Linked DNA regions of Schizosaccharomyces pombe. Changing the gene in region 1 together with any one later gene gives a genetic interaction. Each region holds a gene or a part of one and is shown in the gene's direction. Other genes may lie near its edges. The genes, in order: dma1, cdc7, mug27 and spo3.

The links.
Region 2: of dma1 (region 1) and cdc7, changing one enhances a phenotype caused by changing the other (phenotypic enhancement), as found in Schizosaccharomyces pombe (one study listed by BioGRID).
Region 3: of dma1 (region 1) and mug27, changing one enhances a phenotype caused by changing the other (phenotypic enhancement), as found in Schizosaccharomyces pombe (one study listed by BioGRID).
Region 4: of dma1 (region 1) and spo3, changing one enhances a phenotype caused by changing the other (phenotypic enhancement), as found in Schizosaccharomyces pombe (one study listed by BioGRID).

What each region holds. Positions count from the first base shown.
Region 1 is NC_003424.3:2,357,500-2,361,756, reverse strand, and holds dma1 (mitotic spindle checkpoint ubiquitin ligase Dma1), read left to right. Parts: upstream 1-1,885; 5' UTR 1,886-2,383; coding exon 2,384-3,187; 3' UTR 3,188-3,729; downstream 3,730-4,257. Other genes in the region: mannosyltransferase Imt3, read left to right, coding at 244-1,314; Set1C complex subunit Shg1, read right to left, coding at 3,826-3,994, 4,060-4,181. UniProt on the Schizosaccharomyces pombe protein: Probable E3 ubiquitin-protein ligase which is a component of the spindle assembly checkpoint, required to prevent septum formation and premature exit from mitosis if spindle function is compromised.
Region 2 is NC_003423.3:3,221,813-3,228,531, reverse strand, and holds cdc7 (serine/threonine protein kinase SIN pathway Cdc7), read left to right. Parts: upstream 1-2,026; 5' UTR 2,027-2,101; coding exon 2,102-2,128; exon of another isoform or gene 2,129-2,180; coding exon 2,181-2,315; exon of another isoform or gene 2,316-2,356; coding exon 2,357-2,386; exon of another isoform or gene 2,387-2,435; coding exon 2,436-2,500; exon of another isoform or gene 2,501-2,547; coding exon 2,548-2,801; intron 2,802-2,851; coding exon 2,852-3,313; intron 3,314-3,353; coding exon 3,354-3,595; intron 3,596-3,663; coding exon 3,664-3,727; intron 3,728-3,764; coding exon 3,765-4,117; intron 4,118-4,158; coding exon 4,159-4,293; intron 4,294-4,329; coding exon 4,330-5,751; 3' UTR 5,752-6,181; downstream 6,182-6,719. Other genes in the region: serine/threonine protein kinase Ppk24, read left to right, coding at 245-1,178, 1,261-1,712; Ras1-Scd pathway protein Ral2, read left to right, coding at 6,351-6,719. UniProt on the Schizosaccharomyces pombe protein: Protein kinase essential for cell division. Plays a key role in initiation of septum formation and cytokinesis.
Region 3 is NC_003421.2:1,676,562-1,681,066, reverse strand, and holds mug27 (protein kinase Mug27/Slk1), read left to right. Parts: upstream 1-1,630; coding exon 1,631-2,239; exon of another isoform or gene 2,240-2,288; coding exon 2,289-2,738; exon of another isoform or gene 2,739-2,780; coding exon 2,781-3,596; 3' UTR 3,597-3,974; downstream 3,975-4,505. Other genes in the region: gamma tubulin complex linker Mto1, read left to right, coding at 1-1,143; cfh2 (chitin synthase regulatory factor), read left to right, coding at 4,111-4,505. UniProt on the Schizosaccharomyces pombe protein: Has a role in meiosis.
Region 4 is NC_003424.3:2,051,260-2,057,677, forward strand, and holds spo3 (sporulation protein Spo3), read left to right. Parts: upstream 1-1,538; 5' UTR 1,539-2,685; coding exon 2,686-5,772; 3' UTR 5,773-5,918; downstream 5,919-6,418. Other genes in the region: btn1 (battenin CLN3 family protein), read right to left, coding at 1-393; V-type ATPase V0 proteolipid subunit vma11, read left to right, coding at 6,349-6,365, 6,405-6,418. UniProt on the Schizosaccharomyces pombe protein: Has a role in spore morphogenesis. Involved in the assembly of the forespore membrane.

The sequences.
Region 1 (4,257 bases):
ACGTTTTATCTCACCTTATATTTTTTCCTTCCTCTTAGTCCAATTAATTACACTGCCTAAAAAGCAAGCAAAGAGTGAGAACCAAAAACTTGCCTCTTACTAGAATCTGTTAAAATCTAGCATTATCTAACTTCAACTAAAATACTTTTATTGCAAAATTTCTTTTTGTGTGCTGAATCTACCAAGCACGAATATACAACTGACCTGATTTTATTTCGCTGGAAGCGTATATTTGATGCCACCATGAACAAAATACTTTTTTACTTTTTTTTCTTTTTGACACTAATTCTTTCCGCTACTGTTTATCTTTTTGGAGGTCCAATGATGCTGTTCTTTATTAATTATAAGACAGACCTTCTTAAAGTTGATGACGTTTATAATCATGAAATTTATTCAAACCAGTCTGCTGCTATTCCTAAAATTATACATCAGACTTGGAAAACCAACGAAATTCCGGAAAAATGGGTTGGTGCCCAGAAAAGTTGCATTGATCTACATCCTGATTATGAATATGTATTGTGGACTGATGAATCCATGAGGGAGTTTATTGCTACTGATTATCCTTGGTTTTTGACTCAATATGATTCTTATCCTTACAATATTGAACGGGCTGATGTCGTTCGATACTTTATTCTTTACAAATACGGTGGAATATATTTGGATTTGGATGTTGGTTGTAATCGAACCCTTGATCCCTTATTGCATTATCCAGCATGGGTGAGGAGAACTTCCCCAAGTGGGATTAGCAATAATGTAATGGGATTTGCTAAAGGGCATCCATTTCTTTTACAGGTGGTCAGAAACCTACCTAGATTCGCGTTTAATTACCACTTCCCTTACCTAACCGTAATGTATTCGACTGGTCCATTGTTCTTGTCGATAATATGGAGTGCTTGGCGGAAGCTTCCAGATGCCGAAGCTTGGCATCATATTTGGGTGATGGTTCCCGAATTGTATGAAAAGAGCCACCATGCATTTTTTGAAATTTATGAAGGTTCATCATGGCACGATAGTGACGCTGGATTTGTATTCTATATGTTGCATCACTGGGCCATTTTTACATTTCTTGGTTTTTTGACGTTTTTCATTGTTGTATATTTTATATTTGGCTATGCTTTGAAGCCTGCCGCTCGTGTCTCCCGCACTGGTCGACGGGTATTTTCATCTCCGTTTTCTAAGACATCTCCGTCCCGTTGGAAGATTTTCCATCGTTTCACTTCTTCCAATGAAAAGTATGACCAAACTCGTTCTGATTCTTTACCTTTCATGTCTGATTATGATTTGGAATCGCAAACTCAAAGTCACAGTCCCTAAAATTACTCGGCATTTGCTACTACAAAGGCTTCATTTGCTTTGAAGTTTTGACCTGTCTATCTTTTCATTTTCATAGAATTATCATAAATCCTTGTATTTCATTTAGTTTCGTTCTAGTTTTCTAATATAGTCTATTAAAAGCAAGTAATTTCACAATTGTCTACCGTGATCGGAAAGGGATATATACCATGAAATGACTCAAGTCCAAATCTATAAAAATAGAAATGCTAAAGATATTTTCGGAACTACTCATTTCAACTTACTTTTTGTTTGATGGATTTTCAGCTAAATTCTAAATTATACTAAAACAATAAATTATTCAACATAAAAACGGTGTTGCTTAAGTCCATCTGTATGGTGAGACAAAGATAGACAAAATACCATCATCGTCATTGTTTATGCGACGCATCTAGTTTTTTATTTGTTTTTATTATTTGTTTTGTTTTATTTAATGCACAATTACTATACCGAAGAAAACATTGTGTTGTACCGTAAGTTGGATACCGAATTAGTCATGCGCCTTTCGAGGCGGCATAGCATTAACTGTATTCGTTTGCAGCACCATTTGACCGTTTACTGTGTGCAATTTACTTGTTCTACTAAATTGGCTTCATAATTTATAACATATTTTTCTGATAACAGCGAAAACTATCATTTTTTCGATTGCTTTTCATTTACAGCTAAATTCTGGTTGATTATTAAAAGTGTTTCTTTTCGGAATTAAAGTGTGCAATTCAGTTAAGAGTTCTGTTTGCTGTCCTTCCTTAGCTTTCAACAGTTTGTTTGTTTTTGAGGCCTTTGTTTTCGTTTTTGTCTCTTGTTGCTTCCAAACTTTAATACATAAACACAACAACCCCATATACTTTCGTATTTTGTTAGCAATAGATTTGAAACTTACCTTATCTTCAATTTACTAGAAGGAAGGCATATTTCTTTGAACTTTTTCTTGGATAACATCAAATTGGTATACGGAAGACAATTTTCAAAAGCTTTTAACATTAATTTATTTGTTTTTTGTAACTTTCTATCCTCCATTCAATTGTTTTAATAAAGCTTTTCTTTCCAAAAAATGACAAAATCTGTTGAGGGATACCTCAAAGAACAGGAACTTGCCGCTGAGACTGATTCTGAAAAGGACGACGATAAAATATCAATTCGTTTAACTAACTTTGTCGGTCCCAATGCACATTCTTTCTCTTTTGATCCGTTAGTTCGCTACTGGAACCGCAAGCAAAATAATCTACCCATTTACATAGGAAGATACACAGAGCGATACAACGGCGGTGATGTTTCTGCTATTGTCTTCCGTTCCAAAGTTGTGAGTAGAAGGCATGCACAAATATTTTATGAAAACAATACTTGGTACATTCAAGATATGGGTTCTAGTTCTGGTACATTTTTGAACCATGTTCGTTTATCACCGCCGTCAAAAACGAGTAAGCCTTATCCCATCTCGAACAACGACATATTACAACTTGGGGCGGATTATAGAGGAGGTCATGAAGTCAACTATCGTTGTGTTCGTGCCCGAGTTGAGCTAAACAACTCTTGGAAAATTAAGCTTAGTCCTTACAACCTTAACGAATTCAAAAGAATGCAAGAACTGGTGTTATGCGGATCTTCTGAATCGGGTCCTCCGGAATGTTGTATATGTCTTATGCCTGTTTTACCTTGTCAAGCATTGTTCGTTGCACCTTGTTCTCACTCTTATCACTATAAATGCATACGCCCAACCCTAAACGAAAGTCACCCATACTTCAGTTGCTTTATATGTAGAAAATATCATGATTTGGAGGCTCCTGTTGAAGAAGGTGACGAAAGTCTAAATGACCTTCTACGAAATGCAACGGTAAAAGACGATGCATCTGAGTAAACTGTTATTTTCAGTATGGTTACTAATTGTCTTTTACGTCCTCAAGTTCTTCCTTTAATGACCATCGTAACATAATGATCATATTATATTTAGTCTTTATGAGCATGGCAGAAGATTATGGGAACACAGGCTCTTTGACATTTGCTGTTGCCTGATGATTGAATTAAACAAGCATGCCTCCCTAACTTTATTTATCAACACTCATAATGATTAAATATTTTATTGATGAGAAAACCAAGTGCTACTTGGTCTCTTTTATTCATTACTGCATTAATATAATTATCCTAAATGGATATATAATCTTAACTTCTGTCGTCCTTCACACCTGATCTCTACATACTCTCACATTTTTTTATTTTTTTTGAAACATTGGCATCACAAATGAATGTACTAATAATCAGCAGTAATAGAGATCCGAATCTGAAAGAATTGTGGTTGTTCTTCTGAGAGTCCATTTATTATCTCCTTCAGCATCATTAAATGTTATAACTTTTAATTCACTTCTTATGCAACCTAATGTGATTGCTGGTAAAATTCCCGAGAGTACAATTCTTAATTGTAATAAGTATGTTCAGTATATGCAATTTAGAAGTAATCAATAACAAAACTTTTTCAAACTTTTAAGTAGCTAATTATCTTCATTTGCGCCCATCCATGGTTTTACTATTCAGCAATTTTTCTTCATCCTCATGCTCTATTTGTTCAATCCCTATTTGTTCAAGAGAATTATAAATAACTTCCCTCAAATCTTGATCAGATAAAACATTGCTTCGGATGTGTTCCATGCTATCTTCATACAATGAAGATCTTATGGGTTAGACTGAGTTTCCAAAAAGAAAAGAAAAAAAACCATTATTAAGTCGTAAGCTTACCTATCTACGGCACCTGCAATTAAAGGAGCAGCCCTAAACTGGTCTTTACTTTTGAGTGTGCGATCTTTCACCATTTCTTCATCAATGATTTTTTTCAGCCGATCTAATAAAGGCCCTGATTCCTGAGGCGATGTTAGTATGGCAAAAGAGTGAGTGACATTGGTATCATTATGATAGTTAAAAAAAATAGTGATAGTT
Region 2 (6,719 bases), on another chromosome or scaffold:
TCGTTCATCGATTTAGGCATTCGTGAGCATATGATTTTGGAAATTTCGTTTCTTTCAAAGACGTTATGATTACAACTATGCAATTTTGAGGTTGCTAACACGTAACTCTTTATCTAAACAGAATAAATGATGAGGTTGTTCTGAAAACACTCTTTTTTTAGTAAGAAAATAAAGAAGAAGTACATAAAAAATCAATCAATTTGAAGTCGTAACTAGGCTTCTTAGCTTCAGCGGCTTGTCACTAATGACTAATTATCCTTTTTTTCGCCAGGGGACAATTTTCGTGGACAATTCAGCAATTCAAAGGAATTCAGAGAATAAGAATAGTCTTTCGATTGAAAATATTTTTGGGAGATTTCCTAAAGAGTTCTTCCAATTTTTTTCAATAAATGTTTCTAAATCAACAACCAAGAAGTCTTCCGTCGTTATAAAGCCAAGTACAATTACTGCACCATGGTTAGAAAATGAATACTTAGACAGTAATACTAGCTTACTTTCCGTTCATTCAATTCAACCTTCGTTTATTGGAATGTCTGACTTCGCAATTGGATTAGATCCTTCACTGAAGCGTATATTACCCGAAATAAGATTTCGCTTAGACTTTCAGCATCTAAAATCAATAGCTAAAGGGGCCACCTCTACAATCAAGGTTGTAACTCACAGAGATAAAATCACCGACGCAAAGATATACTATGCTGCCAAAGTATATCGGAAAACGAAAACATCGCATAAAAAAAGATTGAATACAATGGTTTATTTTTTAAGGGAATGGTCAATCCAACCAAAATTGGACCATCCTAATATTCTGAAAGTTATCTGCCCTTGTGTGACTTTGACAAGCGTATTTAATAAATCCGCTGGGTTTTGTTTGGTTCAAGAGTACTGTCCTCAAGGCGATTTATTTAAGCAAATTGAAGAAAAAGTTTTGACCTTAGAAGACAAATGTTGTTATCTAAAGCAAATTCTTCAAGCAGTAGCTTACTTGCAATCTCAACGTATTGCGCACCGAGATTTAAAGCCGGAAAACATCTTAATCGGAAGGGATGGATTGTTAAAGCTCACCGATTTTGGTACCAGCGAAATTGTGGGTAATCCTGGTGATAACGAATCCATTCGTTTCGTATCGGGTGCTGTTGGAAGTTTGGCATATCTAGCACCAGAAGCATTTCATGAAAATGGTAAGTCTTATGTGTATAAATTGTGTAGCAAGACGAGCTCTATCCTATTTCAAAAACGACGTACTAATAGTTCAATTGATAGAATATTGTGGTCTTTTAGCAGATAGGTGGTCATGTGGTATTTTGCTTAAAGTTCTGTTTACTGGATACTTTCCATTTAAAACTTCCGTGAAAACTGATCTTTACTACTCAAAGTATATGTCAATCCTTACAGATACTTGTGGTATTTCTTCAACTGATGAATCCAGTTTCCAAACCGAAGTCATTAAACAAATACCTACATTGCAGCCCCTCAGATATATACCTGAAGGTGCTAAGAAGATTATACTAAGTTTACTGAATCCTGATTCCCAGAATCGGCCGTCGTTGGATAGTATTTTAGGTACTGCATGGGTACGGAAACTGGATTGTTGCAGTAACTTCTCTACCGATCATGAAAATAAGAGTTTACAGGAAGTTGATTTTGATGCTTCTAAACCCATTACAAGGAAAAGTTTGATTCCTCGGATTCATAACCATCAGACACTTGTTTAACGTAGTTTAAATCACTGTCTTTTCTACTTTACTTTCCAAGCTAAAATGAACTCATTCTTCCTATGTACATGGTGTTTCCACTGACATTACTTAACCAACGGATTAGTTCCATCCTTGCCAATATTTTTTATATGTCTGTATAATACGCTTTTTCTTTTATACGAGAATCTTTGTTTATTAATGATTTTATAAATAGCTTAATTATTACTATTTACTTCTTTTGAGTTTATAACATGCAAGTTCAGGTACCGTACTAAATGTGTATGTACACTATAAAGTCCTTACTTCTTCAAACGCAGCAAATGCTACATCGTAAACAAAACCAAATTGTCTTTTCATTCAAAATTACAAATAAATTCAATTTTTAATTTGTAACTTATTCAATAGTCATGCACAATATCCAAGCATCTTCCATCGTATGCTAGTATTTAATGTTAATAGCCATTGGATTTTCAATAACATATTCAGACTCTTGGGGATTGCTTGGGCAAGGGTGCCTTCGGTGCAGTATACCGTGGTCTAAATATAAAGAATGGAGAAACGGTGGCTGTAAAAAAAGTTAAACTATCCAAAATGCTAAAATCTGATCTTTCCGTCATTAAGGTATGAAGGGATCTCAACTATTTTTCTCTAACAATTTTTAGATGGAGATTGATTTGCTTAAAAATTTGGACGTATGTTACTCATTCGTTTATAATGGTCGCCAAATACTAAACGTGGTAGCATCCAAATATTGTTAAATATAGGGGATCTTATCAGACGAACGATTCTCTATGCATTATTCTGGAGTACGTGATTTTCTTTAAAAAATTGTTTTCAAGTTAACGATATATAGATATTGCGAAAACGGATCGTTGCGCTCAATTTGTAAAAACTTTGGAAAGATTCCAGAAAACCTAGTGGCCTTATATACGTTTCAAGTATTACAAGGGCTACTTTATCTACATAATCAGGGTGTTATCCATCGTGATATTAAGGGTGCCAATATACTTACTACTAAAGATGGCACTATCAAGTTAGCAGATTTCGGGGTTGCGACGAAAATTAATGCTTTAGAGGATCATAGTGTTGTTGGAAGCCCCTATTGGAGTAAGCCTTTTCTAAGCGTATAGTTATAACATTACTAACAATTTATATAGTGGCTCCCGAGGTTATAGAGCTTGTAGGCGCCACAACAGCCTCAGATATTTGGAGTGTTGGCTGCACAGTTATTGAACTGTTAGATGGAAATCCTCCCTATTATGATTTAGATCCTACGTCCGCTCTTTTTCGGATGGTGAAAGATGAACATCCTCCCTTGCCTTCAAATATTTCTTCGGCTGCTAAAAGTTTTTTAATGCAATGTTTCCAAAAGGACCCAAATTTACGAATTAAGACCAGAAAACTTCTTAAACATCCTTGGGTGATAATGAACCAAACCTCCTCTAAATTTTCTGACGCTATAGACGAGGTTCAAAAATATAATGAAAGAGTGAAAGAAAGCACTTTGACAGCTATTATCGAGCCTACTTCCAACAGAATCAATCCGACTCTTCATTCTGGCAGGCAGTCTTCTTATCACATGCCTGAGTCTCCAAAAACACCAATTGCCGAGTCCCCAGGTAGCTTTATGATACTTTTTAACTACTCTAACATTTTTAGATCATGATAACTGGGACAATGAATTTCAAGGAACCCTTAAAATCAGTGACGATGTTTTAAAGAAATCTGAGCATTTTATGGATTTTTGCAGTAACTTTAAAGGAAAAAATAATTCCAGCTCCATAACATCATCCCCTTCGAAGTCTCGCCATGCTTTTAATTCAGATCAAATCTCTGAATCAAACAACTTTAATGCATCACCGTTGAGTACTCCTCTCAAAGCCCAATTTGATCCCTCTAAGGTAAATAATGCAGCTCGATTTTCTAGAGCTTTTAATGATTTTAAATAAATAATTAACCTTTTTTTTAGCCCGCTCTCAACCGGTCAATAGATCATCAAAAAACTCCGCAACATAAAAGATACTTGTCAACTGGTAAGTATCTGATACTAACATATAACTAATTATCTAGAGTTTAAAGAGAATATACCAGACGGAATTGAAAAATTTGTCGAGACACCCAGAGATAGTGAATTTACTGATATTTTCCCTACATCCTCAATCAAAGTTCAAGGATTGAGAAAGGAGACTGGACTGGGGACTTTGGTTTTAAACAAATGTTATGGCTCGTGGAATAATGAAGAAAATGAGGATGGGGAAGAATCGGATATCTTTGACTCTATTGAAACAAACTTAGAAAACTTGGATATTGAAAACAACATTGCTTTAGATAAGAGAACGCATCTAGCTTCCTTACTTTCCAGTCTGTTAGGCTCACTACGTGACAAGAATATCGGATCGAAGGATACAACTGTTTCGCAAATAGTAAGTGCATATTTTTATATTGATAATTTAACTGACAATAGGCTTCTATACTTAGTGAAGATCTTTCTCTAAAACGAGAGATAATACAAGCGCATGGTATCCTTCCACTTTTAGAGACATTGCGCGAAATAAAAACGCCTGATGTTCAATTGCTGTTATTAAAGCTCATTAACACTGTAAGGATATTTAATGCGTGATTTTACTAACGTTAGGTTGCATTCGATGATCACACAACTTTACAAAAAGTTTGCTTTGCTGGAGGTTTACCGCTTATGTTGTCATTCTCTAATCGTGAACACTCTTTTGAGTTTAGATATGAAAGTGCTATCTTTATTCAACAGATGTATAGAACTTCTGCTTTGACATTACAAATGTTTTTGAGCTCAAATGGTCTGAATTCGCTTTTATTATTTATTAAAGAGGACTATGGAACGAACCGTGACTTTGTTTTTGTTGGCGTAGAAGGAATATGGAAATTACTGAGACAACAGGATTACATTCCAAAAAATGATATCTGTACGATGGTTGTAAATGATTCACTAGAGCCCTTGACCAAAGCCATGCTGAAAGCTTTGGCTACTGACGATGATTCTTCAAGAATGTCATTAACACGTATATGTGAAATTTTATTGGCTTTATCTCAGGCTGATAATTATGTTAAGGAATCACTTCTTTGCGAAAGTGCTCTTCGAAGGATATTGCGTATTCTGCTTTATCTGCCGCATTCTGATATGGCGATTACCTTACAGTTTTTCAAGCAACTTTCAATGGTTCCTTCATCTTTGTCGCTTCTTAGGAAAGTTCATATAATACCTCTTTTGACACATATTCTCGGTGACAGCAAAATTGAGAAAGGACGAAAAGAAATTAGAAGCGAAGCTTTGGCCGCTTTATTCAATGTGTGTAAGCTAGATAAGAAATCGCAAGAAGAGGCTGTTATTTCTGGTGCTATTCCATTATTGCAAGAGGTGATTATTAAAGACAGACTGTTTAAGGAGTTTGCGCTGCCGATATTATTAGCTTTGCCACAGGCTGGTCCAGTGTCGAGAATTTATCTTTGGCAAAATAAATGCTTAGATTTTTTTCTCTCGTTATTATCAGATCTTAATTGGCAATCTGCGGTATTTGATACGATCGCATCTTGGTTGCAGTTTGAACTCCGTGAAGTACAACGTGTTTTGGCAGAGAAGAGAAACGTACAATTAGTGTTAAAGGTGTTCTGTATTTCTCAATCAGCTTCCTCAAACAGAATGCTAGATACTTTGGGCAGGGTTTGTCAAATTTCCCCAAGATTGGCAGCCTCTTATGGCCAGCCTATAATATTCCAGAAATTTAAAGAAAAGTTAACTCATAAGGGGACCAAGCCGATTGTGGTCCTAAACATATTTCAAATTATGAAATCAATGTGTGAAGCTAGTAGCCAAAGTGTTGCTTATATTGCGCATTGTGGTTTACCAGATGTGGTTGCAAATTTGAACCAAACAAGTGATTCTGTGCTTGTTAAAGAACTAGCAAAAGACCTGCTGAAATACCTGAAGGTACCACAGGGTCCCATCAATGAGCACAAATCCCCCATTTCGAAACCGCATATGCCTCCACCTAGATGGCAACCAAAGCAGCCATTAACGCAGTGAACACTATTAAACGCATTTCCCAGTGCACGACTATATTACTTGTTTATGATATTTCTGTATTTATGGCTTAATGATTAATAAATAAGGTTGGGATTATGGAATCAATATTTTTTAAACGAAAGTTTTGCTAATTTTAATATTAATATATTATCATTCCATGTGTAAGTACGTTACCAGTTGTGTTTATACCTGAAATACAATCTAATTGAGTACCGCAATGAAGACTATTTATTTACCGAATCTATATTGATGAATCTTAGAAACGTTAAGAGAAAGGTTTATAATATGCTTATCACAGTGTATATTTATATTTATTCATTCAAGTGCTTCGAATTTTAAAATCTAGGTGTGCATAAAAGTTAACTTCACTATATCAGTTAACGCTACGATAGTGCAATACAGGAAGAAATATGCACTAAAACAAAAGGACAACAATGATTTTTATGCTTCTCATTTTTGGCTATTAATTTGCTGCTTTGTTTATTGCATAAATCTTTTTTGACTGTTTGCATTTCAGTAATTATTAATTTTTATGTGGAAGGAAAAATCACTTTTTTGATATTTCTTATTAACGTCGAGTTGCTAAACAGTTTATATCTATGTCAGAAGTAAAAAGGAATATATCTTTGAGAAATTCAACAAACATTTTTACTTCTACATTTAGTTTATCTTCAAATAATGTCCCAAAACCGCTGATTGGGGAGTCAGTTATAAAATATGGAGACGAGGCTTTTGTATATGGAGGACGCGATGCATTAAATGCGCAGCTTGTTAATGATATGTATGTAGTTGATCTTAACACTTGTTCCTGGAAGCAAGTTGAATATCAAGGAAATCAAAAGCCGATACCACGGTATTTCCATTCAGGGGATTTATGGAATAACAAATTAATATTCTTTGGTGGTATGGGATTTAATGATGATACAAAATGTCTTTATGTTCTTAACGACATCGACATATATGATATT
Region 3 (4,505 bases), on another chromosome or scaffold:
GATTCATTAAATAAAAAACTTCGTGAATTTGAAGGTATATTGTCATCAAACTCTTCTTTAAAAAGTGAGATTGAGGAAAGAAATAATCAATACGTTACCCTTCGCGAAAATTTCGATTCTTTGCAGAATGCTATTATGGAAACATTTGATAAACAGGTCACCCACTGCTCGGTTAACCATTTGGTACAACAGATAAGAAAACTAAAAGATGAGAATAAAAAGGATCAGTCTGGTACTGATAAGTTGATGAAAAAAATCTACCATTGTGAGCAAAGTTTAAAAGAAAAAACAAACTCTTTGGAGACGTTAGTGTCTGAAAAGAAGGAGTTAAAGAACTTACTGGATGCGGAAAGACGATCCAAAAAAGCAATCCAATTAGAGTTGGAAAATTTGTCTTCACAAGCTTTCAGAAGAAACCTCTCTGGATCTTCCAGTCCTTCTGAAAGGAGTCAATCTAGAGAACTTAAACTTTTACAAGCATCTGAAAAACGCCTTAAAGAGCAAGTGGAAGAAAGAAATTCCCTCATAAAAAACATTGTCACTCGTTTTACCCAACTGAATACGGGAAGTAAGCCTGTAAATACCAACGTTGAAGCATTGACGACAATTTCAAGCATGAATCAGGCAGTAAATATGAATTTTAGGGAGTTGGACAAATCCATTCAAGAATTCAAACGGAAGTGTCAATCAATGGAGCGGGAATTTAAGACCGAACTCAGGAAGCTTGATGGTGTACTTGAGGCTAGAAGTAAGCGTTTATCACAGTTGGAAGAACGAGTGAAACTTTTAGGCGCTGGGTCAACTTCATCTATTCCAAATTCGCCAAGGGCTTCAAAACGCGTTAGTTTGGATTCCGAGGATAAAAAGCTTGTTCCCGCTTCTCCAGATAAGTCAGCAGTTCAAAGAGGTATCACAGCTTTGAAACGAGATGCTGAAGGAATGAGCCATATATGGCAGTTGAGACTAAGAGAGATGGAGTTTCAACTCAAGGCTGAGCAAGAAGGTCGTAAAAGAGACAAGTTGGGTGCCAGAGAAAGGCTTCAAGATTTGATTCGACAAAACAGGAGTCTTTCAAGGCAAATAAAAACGGATAAAGAAAGCAATTCTAGGTCTCCTTCTATATCATCACAAGAACATAAATAATAATCTGGATAGTTTGCGGTTGAAGTATATAGCTTTTCTTAATCACCAGTACATATCTACTTAGTTGGAGAATTTAATTGACAAAATAAGCTAATTCCAAGATTTATATTTATTTTTTATTTTTTTTTGTTCTCGATTAACCATTTTGGTGTTTGTATCTCCCTGATTATAAAGGAAATAATCACACATATTCGTAAAAAAAATTTATTTTAATCGCGCAAAAGAATTCGAAATATAATTTTTTATTTAACCTTTTTTAAGTAAATTTTACTGCGCATGTATCATCTTTGTAAAAATTCCCAGAACCCGGTGTTTGTTTACATTTGCTGGGAGAATCGAGTTTTATTCAGGCACAACGTGTACTCAAAATAAATTTCAAAATTGAGCTCACATAAACTTGAATAGGAGCAAAAAAAGGAAAGAATCCATTGCATGGAAAAAGCAATTCACTTGGGACAATTTTATAGAACGATTCCACAAACATAGAATGGACCTACTGGGCCTTAAAGAATTAGACAATAACAAACTAGTATCAAAGGCAAAAGAAAATGGAGTCGAATTTTCTGATTTATTTTTACTATCAAGCGGCTATTTACGAGACAGGGAAAATGCGTCAGCAAGTGTGTCTTCGAAAAATGAACGCATGGTGCTCAACGAAGAAAGACAAAATTGCTGGACGAAAAGAAATGATCCTAAAGGTTTAACTTACTACCAATTACTAAAGCCCAGTGAAGTTGAAATACTTAGTCGACCCGAGACAAGAAGAAAGCGGATGGCCTGTCAAGTTTTCTTCCTCAATTACTATATTAGCACAATTGAGTACCATAAACTAAGGAAGGAAAGATTGGAAGAATTTACAGCGTGTACATCGTCATTAAAACAATCTAAACAGAAGCGACTATGGAAAGAGCATTGTGGAAGGGAAAGAGCATTTTTGAGAAAAAAAAGAACCAAGATTCAATGTAGCCATTTCGATTTATTAGTAAAGCTTGGACAAGGAGGATATGGTTCTGTGTGGCTTGCTAAAAAGCGCAACACACACGAATTGTTAGCAATGAAAATGATGAAAAAATCAACATTACAGCAACTTAATGAAGTAAGAAGACACTATTAAAGATCTTAAAAGAAAACTAACAACGGCTCAGGTGAAACACATATTGAATGAAAGAGATATACTAACGAATACTAATTCCGAATGGCTTGTAAAACTGTATTATGCCTTTCAAGATAAGGAAAAAGTATATCTAGCAATGGAATACGTCCCTGGAGGAGATTTTCGAACTTTTTTGACTACCAAGGGGCTTTTGCATGAAAATCAAACCCGATTTTACCTAGCAGAAATGGTCGCTGCAATCAGTGCAGTCCACAAACTAGGTTATATGCATCGTGATTTAAAGCCCGAGAACTTTTTAATTGATCAAAAGGGACATATCAAGCTTAGTGACTTTGGGCTAAGTACTGCAATTGTTACATCGAATCAGGTAAATCGACTTCAACATGCACTAGTGAGCGCGGTTAATCCTCAGAGACCTTATTTAACACAAAAGCAAAGAAGAAACATTTATAAAGCGCTTTTGGAAAAGAATGAGAACAAGGTAAAGACATTTTGATTCAAACGTAAACTAAAAAAAAATTAGGTAAATTCCGTTGTTGGATCTCCTGAATACATGGCTCCAGAAGTTGTTTACGGAAAGAAATACGATAGGACCGTAGACTACTGGTCACTTGGCTGCATATGTTATGAATGTCTGGTAGGATATCCTCCCTTTTCTGGGTCAACGCTCCAAGAAACGTGGACTAATCTATACTACTGGCGAGAAATGTTGCAGAGACCCTCCAAAAATGAAAATGGAATTTACGACAAAAAAGCGAGATCGGTTTCAGACGAGGCATGGTCTTTCATCACCAAGTGTCTAACAGAACCAACGTCAAGATTTCAAAGCACAATCGAAATCCAAAAGCATCCATTTTTTAAGAGACTCCATTGGAACGGTTTGCGGAAAAGAGCTGTGCCACCATTTGTTCCCCGCTTGGAGAATCAACTTGATACTTCCTATTTTGATGATTTCAATGACGAACAGGTACTAGATGCGTACAAAGATGTGTACGAAAAGCAAAGGAAGGCAGAGCAAAAAGCAAAAAGCAATGGAGTTATGAACGGTAATCAAAGACAATTTCTTGGTTTCACCTTCAAGTATCGACCCAACGCAAGAAAGCCACTGGTGGGTCGGCATCGTGAAAAGCGACAACTTCGCAAAGAGAAACCGGAGAAGAAAAATAATAGCACTAAACAAAAGGATTTAATCACCGTTAGTCATAACAAAGGCACCACTGCTATTGAGGACCTGGATGAGGACAAGCGATCAAAAACAAAGGGTCACAAAACTAAGTCATCAAGAGTCCATCGGCTTCTGGAAAGAAAAGGCAAAGACCTGTATGAATTTTTGCTCTAAATCCAGATAATAACGCATCAATTACCATTGAGAAACGCCGAAAAGTCTCGTTATTGCGACATGAAAAGCGTTCTGAGCCACAGCATATTCGGAATCGATGAGCCAAGCAGCGTATTCCGCTCGAAACTAATCAGCATATTTCTCCATAAAAGGGAGATATGAATATTAATTATAAGTAAATAGTTAATTCTTGACTGTTTAGAGAGAACTGCATCCTTAATCCAGCTGAAAACCCACTAAAATTTTGAAAATTCTACTGTAAACGTATCTTTCTTGTAGGTAGATCAACCTGTACGCTTAAAAGTAGTTTATATTCAAATAAACTTTTAAGTCCGACGATATAACGTCGCTTCGTTAGCTTCATGACGTGACCCTCGGATCGAGTCATCAGTTTGACAGATAAATTTTTACCCTTCACCTATATCCAGTTGCAGCCTTGAATTCAATTTTCATTCCTCGCTCTTTGAAAGTGAAATAGAAGATAGAAGGCATTATAACCATTAAAGCCATAGAAATGCTAGTTAGCAATGGCGGCACTGGGAGTGCTCACGAGTGGGACAGAACGACAATTGATTATGATATCGAGCCTAGCTCAGACACCCATGCCATTGAAATTAGCTCTAACGATGATTATCTTCATCCTTTGGCTCAGTTTAAGAAATCGGAAGAGTTTGACGAAGTACCTACCAATACCCTGATTCATGAAGTACCGTCATTTTCCGATTCTGCATCGAATATTCAGTCACAGCGAAATCTTAGCCCCTTCAAAGAGCTCGAAATAGTGTCGAAAAAAAAATCGGAACAGACGTTTTCATCTGCCGTGGATTTTTCCGCTATCAACGTGAAAAATTTAAATTTAAAGAGTGGTCTTTTCGATCCTGAACCGCCATCTTACGATCCAGATTATGC
Region 4 (6,418 bases), 310 kb from region 1:
GCACGGTAAAGACACAGAGTGATAACGACTTGATAGATGCAAGAAAGAGATTTCGCCAAAACTCGATGAAATGGCTGCCAGAGATACACCAAGCATTTTCGAAGGGACGGAGGAAGACCAAGCAATCCATTGCATTCCTAATATGGACATGAAAACACAAAAACCGATTCTCTTTGCAAACTTAAATTTATGAACATGAAGAATTGATGCTGACAACTTGCACGCCAAAGAAGGAACAATATTAGAAAGTAGTACCACACCCTTAGAAACGTTTGCGCCAACCAAATCTAAGGCAGCGGATAAAATTATCACGTAGAGAAGGTTGTTTAACAATCCAAAAATTAGGAAGCAACACCCTACTTTCGCATCTTTTGTTAACCTCAATTTAATCATGATTCGTACTATATTTAGTAGAAACTGAGGTCATAAATTTTAGTTTGAACCGGCAATACGATAGTAGACTTTTGTAAAGTGCTAGTCTACAAATTTGCTGTTGTTTCGCAAATAGCACACTTTAAAGCCCTTCTATCGATGACTTCATAGACGAGTTAACTTGTTACAAACTGTAAATAGCGAGGATCAACGAACTGAAAAGCAAGTCGAGATATGTTTAACATTTATTATTCGAGTAGCAATAAGTTGAAGAAAAGAACTCGTAAGCGCTTAAGGGTACAAAAAAAATTGAGTTTTTAGTAACTTCGTAAGAGAAAGGCTACTACCCTTCACGAATGGCGTATTGAGCGATTGAATTATTACGGTAATGTTGTCAGGTTCAAAAGAAACCGATTTTGAATGTTACACTGTTTTTTCCAAGCAACCGCTATCAAGCTAAAGCTTACCCTACTAAAATTTCAACGACTAGTAACTGACATGCCTTGCTTGCTGTGATCGAAAAGCTCCTAGTTTACTCATGCTTCGGTTAGCACTTCTTGAAATCTCCCAGGAAAACAATTACAACATCTTTAAATATTCTATTCACGTGTCTACAGCTTCTACTTATGAAGTTATTGTTTTTGGCACGAGATTTATTTTGGTTTAATTCCGATCTTCGTTTGCTTATGTTTAAAAACTCTAAATCGTAAATCAAAACAAATTGAATATAATATCGTATGAATGTGTCTTTACCGAACTACGGTTAACATCGTTATTGCATTATCACTTTGCTCAACAATAATATAAAATAGTAATACGCATGTATCTACTATAGATATTTCGTATTGCTTAGTCAATTTTTTTTTTTTTTTTTTACTAAATGAAGGTTTGACGCTCCGTTACGACTGTTTATAATAACGAATTGGAAACCGAACCGAAAAATCATCTCGTTCATTATCAAATTTGCCTTGTTTGCTTTGACCCATAACACATTACATTTAACAGTAATGGGATCATTATGTTAGTTACTGGGAATTATATTATGCTTGATGCTGTACTACAAATTTATAATACTGTCCATAGAAAGTGCGATATTGGCGTTTTAACGAGCGTTTCGCTATCATTCTCTAGTTTACAAATCGCACCTCACCATGGTTCATAAATCCAGCAGCTACAGCAAACAGCTGTTTGCAGACGCACTTTAGAGTTTGAATTTTAGAATCTCTTTTAAGTAAAGCTAAGAGACTTATAATCTCTTAGATTTCCTTTGGTTTTATATTAACTTCAATGAGCATAATGAATTATTATGCGATCACAGTGCCATCGACATGTTTCAACATTTTTTAAGCACATGCTGTTAATACTATTTAATCCACTAAACTTACTAATGAGAGTATCCTTTTAATCTACTGATAAACAAAAGGAGTTTTCGTGCTGTAAAATGGTAATTTTACAGTACCACCCTCTCCCTGTAATCGAAAATGCATACCAGATATGATGATGCACTCATTTTAACTCTCTTTAAACTATTAAAGTATATTCCATCATTTCCGTACCCTCGTTTCAGAATGTTCATATGCGACTTGTATAAACAACTCATATAATCTGAATGCAAAACTTCCCTCATTGTTAGAGATGATCATGTGTAGATCATCAAGTAAAAAAGATGGACGATGTGCGCTTCAATGAGTTAACACTCGCATCAAGCTTTTGGTAAAGCCTTTGACTCCTATTTTTTTTGCTCAGCCTTGTTATATTTTGTTTAAACCAGTAAGAAACTGATTAATAAAAGTTTCCCCACACTTTTGAATGTTTTGTCGAATAAGCACTGTTTTTCTGTTTGTTTACAGAGTCGATTGTTTCGGTTTGAGTGATATTTAAAGCAGCATTTTTTTTGTATATATAGAGCCTTTAGTACGAACTTTCTTTTCTTTACCGATTGATTTTTGTCAAATATCATTACTGTTGCATTCTTATCTTCTTGTGTCAATATTTTTTTTTCGGCACCTTGTGCTTCTTCTGATCGCAATTTTGTTTAGTATCGATATCGCGATTTTTTTGACTCTTCTTTCTTTAACTCTGGAACGCTCTTATTAGGGTGTTGTATTTATTTATTTTTTTAATTCTGACCTATTCTAATCTCTTTCAAAGCGATTGTTTACGTCCTATTATATCAAAAGTATTCAAAATTGCCACGAATACTGTTTCATAATAAGTTTTTCTATAAGTCTTTTTGAAAATATTATATAAAATAATATTTTCTTGTTTAGTCTCAAAAGCCATTACCTCGTGGTAATTTGATTCAAAAATAAAATGGGGATTTTGTCTGTCATCAGAATTTTCATTTATTGCTTAATAAGGCTTTTCAGTTTTAATTCTCGAAAGAGAAACTCTTCAATTGATGAACTGGAAAGGGGAGAAATCAATGCGTTTGCTTGTGACAAACAAAACACTCCATCACCTAATAGCGAATGTCGTCCCTTAACACCTCTTAATTCTCCATTTAGGAGAACAGTTGAGGGAGACACAGCAAATCTTCAAGCACCTAGCCCTACTGCATGCCCTTCTTTTGACTCTGCTTCGTCTATCAAGTCAAGTAAGGAAGACATTGCTTGTCGTAAATTGTCGACAGAACGTTTTTTTTATTCACCTAATGGTATCGATGAAATGAAAAAACAGCAACAATTTAAGAAAATACCTACTGTTTCAATTACAGAAGTTGAGCCTGCTTTCATCCCTAGCAATATGGAGCAAGCATTATTTTCAGAAGAGCCATTTGTTATCCAGGATGATCTATCACATCAGATAAATTTGGACGACAACAGGAAATTTTCAAGGATTCAAAAAAATAAGCTTGATCCCCTTATAACAGTAAATTTGGTTCCTATTGTGAACGGTGAAAACTGCTTCAACTTTTACGAAACCCAAATGGAAACAAATTTTCTTTCCCCTGAATTTATTAAAAAGCCATCTATGGTTGATCACAAGCGAGATTCAGAAATTAATGCAGTTACAGCTGTTTCTGCCGACGGCTCCTTCAGTCCTTTGACTGAAACACTTTCATCAACAATAAGCACGTTGTCTAACGATTCCCTGGATGGACTAAGCTCTCAAAAAAACGAATTTACTGGATTTAATAGCAATAGCGAATGGATACCTAATGACACAGTTGATTACATCTGTAATAGCGATGCTTCCAGTGTTGTTAGTAATCTAAGTGATTTTGAAGACTGTTTTGATCAATTTGGTGTTTATGATAAGGAATATGAAAAAAAAATTGAGAAGACTAAAAGAAACTTTCCAAAGTTCCAGTCTTCTGCTACGTATCCACCTTTTTCAGCTCATCATCAAGCTAGGAGAAACAATCCTCAAGGTTTCCGAAATGTGAAAAAACGCTTTCAACTGTTCAAGGATGATTGCACAGCACTTACCGACTCAGACTTTCTTGACGCATTACCATTTTTTAATGCAAGGGTCATTATTGCACTATATGTCGAATGGCGTCTCCGTGTTTATGAGACAATGATAATAAAAGGTGAGGAATCACTAAAAAATCTTCAGCGAGCGCGAGATGGTCCTCACAATAAACTTTGGCTTGGTGTATTTGGAAATAAAGATACGATTAAAAAACTTTCAAACTATGATAGGAGAGCGATTTCGAACCCTTATGTGTCTAATCATTTAAACTTCAATGTTAGACGAGTTAAATCGGATACTGTTTACATTCCGACAATTTTGCAGCTCCTTAGAAGCTCGACCCAGCTGATGACTGAACAAGCCTTTGTCGCCTCGAGTAATCTAAAGTCAACAAAGGGTCTGAGGGAGACGAGATTAATCCAAAAATACAAAGTTAAGGGGGATTTTGAATATGTTTATGCTGCGTTATATTATGCTGCTTTCACACAGGAATCAACTTTAAAAGCTGTAACGATAGATGATATCCTATCTGAAGATGAACTTGAGGATTGGTGGTATTTAAATTTACGATACACTTCATTTATAACTCCGCAATTATGCTTTGAATTCCTCGACAAAGAAGCTGATTCCTGTCGCGATCGCTTAACCGAAGTTAAAAGTGAACCGCCTAAAGCGGTCATTTATGAAGAACCTTTAAATAAATTATCTCGATTTAGCTCTGACAGGCTTTTTACTAGTCACGAATTGGTAGCCATTGCAGAGTTAATATCATTAAATGAGCCGCCTTTAGAGAGCGGTAAAAAGTTTTACTATGAAGAGTTTCAAAAGGCATGCCAGAAAAAGAGAGACGACTATCGTTATTCTCCTGAAATTGAATTTAAAGCTGCTTTTCGTGAAAAGTTTCTTCAATCTAATGAGAAAGTCCCGTTTCCACGACCCGGTGAAATTTACGAAAAAAGGTGTGACTATTTTAGCAAATACGCATGCCAAAACATATTTATATCTAAACCTCTTAAGAGATCTGGTAGCATATACGAAGTCTTTTCAGACGGCATAGGTCGTGTTATATACGGTTCTGTTTTAGATTATGAAGCAACGAGAAACAACATTTTATTACATTTTGGGTTTGAAATTCATTGCGCTCCTTCAGAAGAGGAATTAATAGAGAGAGAGGAGGCATTCAAAGATTTTCACAATATGCTATCCTTTAAATACTCTGCCAATGAAATTTATGAGTTTTGTGGAACTCATTCTCGTGCTGAAGTACACAAAAATGAAGTACTGAAGCGTATGGCCTACTATCTAATTGACGAAAATAAAGAAATTAGCATACTACGAAGGATACTTTCTCTTCGGATTGTAGAGCCAACTACTTCGTTTACGAGATATGAGTACGATCTATGGAGAACGTTTTATCCAGATGTTCTGTACTTAAATTATTCGAAATCTGGAAGGATTCCGACCGGATCTCCCTATATTATGAACGGACAGTGGAGGAAAGATTTGTGTGTTAGCACTCCGCCAATGGTAGACATAAACAGTGCCTTGTTCCCTCATTGGTTTAAGCTTTCTGCAAGCAATCTTTTTGCTGGAGCAGAGCATGCTGGTTTGAATCGTCAAAAGCCTGACAAAATTGATCTTGATTTATATGAGCCTCTGCCCGAAAATTCTTATCTGGTGGCTGCAGAACTTCGAGTCCTTAGAGCCTTACGACATAAGAATCCTGAAAATATACCACTTTTAGAGAAGTGGGAAGTCCGTGCTTTGCATCAGCTAATGGCTAAGATCAGAAAGTATTACACAGTCCCGACCGATTATTTATCTTTACGGATGGATGGTTTGCAAGCTATGTTAAGAAAACGAGAATATATGTCTTGCTACACCTTCAATTACTTTGATTATGCATGTCTCATGGATCACGCTTACCGTTTGTATGAAGGATTCAACAACCAAGTTGTGAACCTTCCACCTCGCATTATGTAGTTTTTTAGTTTTTTGATAATGTTAACGATTTTTTTCAACACAATAATATATGTGACTTGTGAATATACTTTACATATATAACACGTATCAAATTAAATTAATTATACTCATTACTTATTTCAACTGGCTAAAACTACACAATTGCTCTTGATCGTAAGCAAAAGAATGAATGAATTTTTACATCCATTATGTTGGCACGCAAATGATAACTAAATACGAATAGGAGTTGAGAACTTGTGCCAAAAGTCCAAAGTCATCAATGTCTTCCATATATATTATTAAGATGTTTCTATTGGCATAATGTTTTTAATCCTATTTACAAGTTGTTATGTTACCTGTGGAAGCCCGCACATGATTTAAAGATTACTAGCGCATTCTTATATTTTTATTCAGGTATTCAGCATTTGTTCCTGGCATACTGAAGACCACTTCAATATTACCGTACCCTATCTGCATCTCTTTAATTCCACTAACAACGAAATTCAACGAAATACTACATCGACAAAGTGCTTACAATCACTGCGTTTTCATATAGCTTAGAACGTCCCGTTTGCATAACGAACATAACTAAACAATATGTCAAGTAATTTATGGTAAAGGATATTTTTCTTTTTCATTTCTAACGAACTAAGTCCTATATATTCTT